2 linked regions of the Neodiprion lecontei genome follow. The protein of the gene in region 1 purifies or fractionates together with the protein of each later gene. This does not show direct contact. Links are inferred from orthologs where the notes say so. Each region holds a gene or a part of one and is shown in the gene's direction. Other genes may lie near its edges.

Evidence for each region.
Region 2: the proteins of calcyclin-binding protein (region 1) and OTU domain-containing protein 5-A purify together in Homo sapiens (affinity purification with mass spectrometry; 4 studies listed by BioGRID and IntAct, with this or other methods). This does not show direct contact. The link is inferred for Neodiprion lecontei from reciprocal best matches to the Homo sapiens genes CACYBP and OTUD5.

Annotation. Positions count from the first base shown.
Region 1 is NC_060262.1:27,525,645-27,528,928, reverse strand, and holds calcyclin-binding protein, read left to right. Parts: upstream 1-1,122; 5' UTR 1,123-1,309; coding exon 1,310-1,333; intron 1,334-1,597; coding exon 1,598-2,266; 3' UTR 2,267-2,643; downstream 2,644-3,284. UniProt on the Homo sapiens protein: May be involved in calcium-dependent ubiquitination and subsequent proteasomal degradation of target proteins. Probably serves as a molecular bridge in ubiquitin E3 complexes. Participates in the ubiquitin-mediated degradation of beta-catenin (CTNNB1).
Region 2 is NC_060264.1:33,610,006-33,613,940, forward strand, and holds the start of OTU domain-containing protein 5-A, read left to right. Parts: upstream 1-1,217; 5' UTR 1,218-1,364; intron 1,365-1,514; 5' UTR 1,515-1,708; coding exon 1,709-1,849; intron 1,850-2,484; coding exon 2,485-2,576; intron 2,577-2,672; coding exon 2,673-2,791; intron 2,792-2,975; coding exon 2,976-3,124; intron 3,125-3,194; coding exon 3,195-3,350; intron 3,351-3,439; coding exon 3,440-3,596; intron 3,597-3,732; coding exon 3,733-3,935. UniProt on the Homo sapiens protein: Deubiquitinating enzyme that functions as a negative regulator of the innate immune system. Has peptidase activity towards 'Lys-48'- and 'Lys-63'-linked polyubiquitin chains. Can also cleave 'Lys-11'-linked ubiquitin chains (in vitro).

The DNA of each region.
Region 1 (3,284 bases):
GGGTGGGGGAATTATGATCTTCTGTCCTTCAGAGAACCGATCCAAATCCCTTCACGGGACGCTTACGCCGTAGCTTACGCTCTATTTTACATAAATAACTCTATGGTCTCAATAGCCGGGTGAAAACACTACGTAAACTATGCACAACGCGACCTAATGTTTACAGTATTACCGTAACATGCGACGACAGGCAAAATTTGAATTCTCTGACCACTTACGGTGTATATCCTCAGTCAACAACGGTTTCGGTCATGCCCTTAGGTTATGCCCTTGTCATATGCAGGTCGAACTTTTTCGAACCATTGGGCTGAGATCGCCACCTTCGGCGTTACGGGCACACCGCGCCTATTGTTATACGCAGCCCAAAGAATAAAGATTAGCCTACATATGACAAAGACATGATTGAAACCTGCACACACCTGCATCCTGTACGAAAAACACGGAAGGGGGCTGTCGCCCAATAATGACGTGATAACCTCAACTTAGTAATTTTATAATCTTAATAAACAGAAGAACTGGTTAGCTATCATACAATTGCAACAATAAATTATTGCCCTAAAAATTATTCTCTATTGATATGTTACGGAATTTATTGAAAATATTAAACTTTAAATATGATTGTCGGTTAGATACATATAGAATTTATTATGTTCTTAAAAAAAATTGGTCAACTATCAAATAATTCTAACTGCACTAGAATCATCTATAGACGAACTGCAAACAATTTCATTAGTTATATTATATTACATTAATGTTTTGTTGACTAAACTCGTATTAATCTATATGCTCTTACTATTCTCCCGGAAAACCTTATCTAGGGGGTTTCCGTAGTAAACTGTAATACATGTAAATAATACTTTTGGATAGGGTTACAATCATGTTATCTAGTAGTCGCAAGATTCTCGTACTACAGTTGACCGTGGTTAGTGGGGATTATGAAATAGAAAAGAAAAAAATTGTACCGACGGTCGTGTGTTACAGGGGCAAGGGGGGGACACCGAGAAGACCGTCGGTAGAAGATACTACTAGACCGCAGCGACGCGTGTGGCGGCGATCGAAAAGAATATTCAGAGCTCGTAACGGTGTCACATGTCCTCATTGAAATGAGGATTCGTTTCTAAGCCTGTATACCTATAAGACCGTGCTGTATACTGCCTGTGTTTCAAGACTATGGTATATGGTGTAAGGCATTGGAACTTGAAGCAACGTGAAACGTAGAAAATTTAATCACGCAATTTGAAGAAAAAATCTTGCTAACGAAGACAATTTAAGAAGTTTAACTCGACTTTGATATCAGTTCGAAAACGAAATGTCACCGTCTAAAATCGATGAAGTAAGTGCACAGCCTACGATCCTAATTTATCTCAAAAACTCCGACAAAGCTTAAAGTTCATAGAATGTTCTACGGGTTTCGGTTTTAGCTGTCAAATTCGTGACATTTGTATCATTGTGAATTTAATATGTGAACATACAATTTAATTCCCAAACAAAAAAAAAACTAGATCAACATATTCAACCAAAAATTTGATTTGAACATTTTTATACATTGGGTAAACTTTCTGTGAGAATTCTCTGTTAAAAATGATCAACATTACAGATCAAACTGGATATCGAGGAGCTAAATAAGTTTATGGAACAAGCAACTCGACAAAAGACAAAGGATATTCTCACATTGGAGCTACGAAAACTTCAAACAGAATTGTCTAAGCACTTAGAAGGAAACCAAAACCCGGAAACTAAACCAACTTCAACACAAGTGTTTGGTAACAAATGTTATGAAGTTAAACTGAACAATTATGCATGGGATCAGTCAGAAAAGTTTATAAAAATATACATTACATTAAAGAATGTTCAATCTTTACCAAAAGAAGCGGTATACTGCGATTTCATGGAGAGATCTATTGATCTTCGCGTCTTAGGATTGGACAGTCGAAATTATCAGCTTCCTATTAACAATTTATGTGAAGAAATAATTCCTGAACAAAGCTATACAAAAGTTAAAACTGATATGATTGCTATATTTTTGGCTAAAAAATCACCTAAGAATTGGTCCCATGTTACTGGTGTTGAAAAAAGAATAAAAGAATCTAAGACACCAGCAGTGCCTGAAATGAGCGAGGATAGTGACCCAAGCTCAAATTTGATGAGTCTTATGAAGAAGTTTTATGATGAGGGTGATGACGATATGAAGAGAACGATCGCAAAAGCATGGACCGAAAGTCAAGACAAACGAACATCCGGCCTGCCTTCTGTTTCACCTCTTTGAATGATATATTGTTAATGTCATAAACTTATGTTTATATACTATAGAAATTAAGATTTCATAATATACAGGGATTCTCTGGTGAAAGAGTAACCTCTTAGCCACGTGCCCACGCACAACTTTGACATGAGCTAAGCGTAGCGGACACACGCTACGATTGAAAACTTCATCATGTGTTGGCACTGGCAGTGTGCGCGTGGTTCAGAGGTTGACCTTGCATTAGAGATTCTCTGAATGTATACCGCTTTGCAGTATAAGTTCTTATCGGTTTTCTAATGATCATAACTATCGTTTATTCAGCATCGCGAAATATATGTTTCTGCTGTGTAGGAATATGTAACCTTGAAGACAAATACAATAAATAAATTATAAAATTATAATCGCCTTGTTTTTAATATCCCCGAGAGTATTATTGCATCTTCCTTTGATCATGAGCCACAGACAGCATTCGACCACTTAAATCCTATAGAAATGCAAAATTTTAATGATACACACGGGCAATTTAAAGCAGCAGAACTATGTTAGAGGATTTAAAATAACTTCCTTTTTACTTTAGTTTGATAATTACAAATTTTTGTTACCAGCGGTATGGTTTCGAATACTTAAATAATTTATTGCTAAAGGAAAAGAAATTGGTAGTTTTTCTAAATTTGCGATTTTATTTGTTTTCAAATAAATACAATTCGCTTCGGTGTATAATTAATGGCTAGTGTAATTGTAATTTACAAAATACATAGATGCAGTATGGTATTTTGTTCCGCAATCTAACCAAGCTAGAAAAACTAAAATCCTGTTCGACCGTTCATATTTTTATGATGTAAATACCTATGTGTAATTACATTTTCAGACCACTGTTCAGATTTATAAAAAAAATTCGCAATTCAAGACATGGTGGCTACTAGTCAGGAAAAACCGGAAAGTCCGAGAAAAGTCAAGAAATTTGAAATATGGTCAGGGCATGTTATGGCGATGTAATGGGACAAAAAGGAAGTTTTTCCCATGAAATAAAATTTTAAGTTAT
Region 2 (3,935 bases), on another chromosome or scaffold:
CGTGGGTGGAAAAAACAGACTCCCTTCTCCGCAGCACCGCGCCTTCGCCTCCCTTCCGCCGACCCCAGGCCGTGGTGGAGGTAGCGTCAGGTCAAGTGGTGGGGATCGTAGTGCATCTGAGTGGGGGTGTTCAGGGGAGGAAAAACATCCCCTCGCCAAGAACTCCAAAAACCAGAGGGAGCCGTTGACGTTGTCGGCATTGGAGGAGCCGGAGGACCCTGCACCCACTCTAGGCCCCACGGGGGCGAAGTAGCTGGGTCGTCTAGGGCGGAGAGGGTGCCGCGGCGTTATCTTCGAATCACGACAAAGGTGCCTTGAGCGAGGTTTCATTCAATTTTGGCCAGTCATTACATTTCCCCGAACGTTCCGTTTCTTGTGCCACCCACGGATTAGCTCGGCGCTATTAAATATTAATGAGATGTAAGAAAACTCCGGCCAATTCATCCATTCACGCTCCTTGGGATCGTTTCTTCAACCCGTCTTCTGCTCCCACCCTGCGGTTCTTACCCGCCTTTTGCAGCTCATTTCTTTTGCCGCCAACCATCAGGAACTCTTCAATGAACGGCGAACAATGAATATCGGGAAAGCTTGTTACAGACAGAAGACGGACGAGACTGATAACTTGTCGCTAACTGTCCGATGCTTTATAATTAGCCTCGAGTACGAAGACCCCTCGTTTCCTTTTTTGCTTAATCAGAAATCATTGTTCCAGCCTCCCATTATTCTTCTTGATTCGATCGTGCAGTTAGGTAACTCTTTTAGAACATTCAGGCAGAATCTGAATTCAAGTCCGATGATGAGAAGTGAAACCTATTGTTGAGATTCTCACCCACAACTGCTGGAGCTGGACGATGCATAGAGGTTAAAGCACATCTCGCCTCAACCGCCTCAACGAATTAACAAGTCGCTGATTTACTAAACTTTTGATCGGCATGGCGTGTTCGCTTGCAAGCGTAAGGATAATTTTGTAGCAAATTAATAAATTTCAACATCGGTGCAAGGAAATGCTCGTATCAGATTTTTGCTCCCGGCAATTCTATAAAGTCCAAGTTCTTGATACGTACAAATATTGTTTCTTTTACCGATAAAACAGTCTCCTGATGTTGTATCGAATGAGACTACAGACGCCATCTATTGGCTGATGCCTGAAGCGGGCAGGCAGCGTCATCATCTTTTGACTGGAACCAGTGTCTGCCATTTCCGTAATCCATGGTCCTTGTGCCGCTGCTGCTGATAGTGCAAATATGGCGGCCACACAAAGCATTTGTAACAACAGTGCGTATTAATATCACAGTCAACAAATAACGGGGTTAGAACAGTCAGAGTTTGGAAGTGGAATGAAGTGCTGACGACAAATCACCTCGGTACAGACTGTTAATAAACGATTAATTTCCCTTAATTATATAACGCGATTCCCCGAATCGAGGATAAAATCGTCGTCGCCCTGCTAGTGCTGCGTATTATATCTATGTATTCATATATTTCAATAAAAAGTAATTGATGTTCGTTCCTAGTACTGTGCAGTCGTGATTTCGTTTCGCGATTCGGTCGTTAGGTATGACCTTCGCATCTTTTCGCCCCAGCAATAAACTGGCATTTGGAAATTCGACGAGGCGGTGAAACTGCGGACCGAGTTGAGTTACTCTGCTTATCGCACGCGAAGTATTTCTCCCGTTTTGTTCGCCCGTCGCTTTCGCGGCCGTCCATCATGACGATTTTGGCGAAAAAGAAACCCAACGGTACGAAGGACAGACGCGAGCCTGGCAACGGAGCCGAGGTTGATGTACACGGGGTTCAAGTCGAGCATGGAGCTGGTCCGATCGCCTTGCAGTCCAACAGTTCTTATCAGGTAATTAGAGAGACAATTTATGGTTAGAAACATCGCATTCGTTCCCAACCACGTTCGAAGGTTGAGAGAGAAGGAATAGAAAAATTTCACGTCCAGCAGTGGTCACTCATGGTAATCCATTACGTGTGACAATTGGTCTGAAATTAGAAATAAATGCTAATCAGTGTCGAAGGAAATTTTTGCATATAGATTTGACATCTACATTATTTGTTAATTGCGGATTGTGTAATTCCTGAAGTATTCATTTTCACAATATTGTAATGATTTGCCAATAAGCGACCTCTGAACAACACTTCTTTTGTTCCTCACGACATCTATATTTACCATTTGGATGAATGGTTTATCTATTATCTATCCTATGTATCTAGAGTTCAGATAATTGTTTTACTGGTAAACTGGTTTGTACCGATTGATAGATCATCAGCAAACATGCTTGCCTAGGAGAAGGAATCCTCTTTATCGTTGGCTGAAACACTGCGATGAAATCTAAGCTCTGCTTTCTACAGTCTGTTGCTAACATTTCCTATCTATTTCAACTAACGATACTTGTTAATCTTTAATTTTTCAATTCACTGAATTTCACATTTACGATTTTGCTAATCAAAGTTGTTCGTATCACCGATCTCTTATTACAGACTAGTGTTGATCGCCGGGAAGAAAAGCACTTTGAGGAGGCTAGTGGATCAAGCCATGGGAAACGTCATCGCCAACGTGCGAGTCCTCACAGGTATCTAATTTTCTCACCTTGTTATAAAGATAAACTAGCTCGATTGTTTCTCACCTTCCAAATCATCTTTATAATTGCTTGGTCATACTACAACAGCTGCATTGGCAGAACGTCCCGGTCTAAACGTGAAAGAGAACGAGACAGGGGTCGAGAGAGAGAAAGAGAGCGGGAAAGGCAAGCGACTCCACCAACGGCATCATGCAGTGGGCTGCAAGGTGAGAATTGCTCAATGAACTTGTAATGAAATTGTTCAATTGTGATTTTTTTGTTACAACGGTATTATTCATATACCTGAATTTATCATTTGCATACATCCGTAATCCTAGAAATAAAGAAGGAATCACCTTGCCACTAATTATTCTTCAAATTCTAACACTCTAATATTTGCCATTTTTTTAGGTACAGATGCTAATGTTATTGGAAACAACCGTATGGCAATAGTAGCTGGTGCTCCGAGCCTTGAGCCAGAATTAGCAAATGGCTATAACAGTGGGGATGAGTACACAGGTCGCACTGGAAACAATTTGACCATTGCGGAATGGCAAGAGGTTAGTGTTAGCTGCCATTAAAAGAGTAAAAAATAATTACTTGCTACTTCTATTTACAATGAATTTTCAGCGTGACCGATGGTTTGAAAAACGGATGCGGAAGATGGGGTTCGTGGTTAAAAAAATGGGTGAAGACGGAGCATGTCTTTTTAGAGCTGTCGCCGACCAGGTTTACGGTGATCAAGAGATGCACAGTGTCGTACGAAAGCATTGCATGGATTATATTGTGAGTAATTCACAATGATTTCGAGCTTTGTCATACAAAGAACTCGATATCAATAATGTTTACTATAGTGAAGGACCATTTTATTTCAGGCTGCCAATCAGGAATTTTTTTCCCACTTTGTTGCCGAGGATTTCTCTACTTACGTGGACAGAAAACGACAAGAATACGTCCACGGTAATCATATAGAGATGCAGGCAATGTCAGAGATGTACAATCGTAGCGTTGAGCTATTTTGCTACGGAACAGGTAAGCGATTCGATGATGTTGACAAAAGGCTATTTGGTAGAAGATATGTCTTCCATACTATACAAAATCACATGAAAATACTGTTGAATATAATTGACAAAGACGTTTTTCCTTTCGCTTCAATGAAACACAAAAGAACCGATCAACATTTTTCACGGGGTACACAAAAGCGACAACGAACCGATTCGGTTGTCGTATCAACGCGGCAGTCACTACAACAGCATCGTAAACCCCTATAAAGCAACAATCGGCGTCGGACTAGGTTTGCCCTCGTACAATCCCGGAGCGGCGGATCGTGCTCTCGTTTCTGATGCGGTTCGACAGAGCGAAGAACTGCAT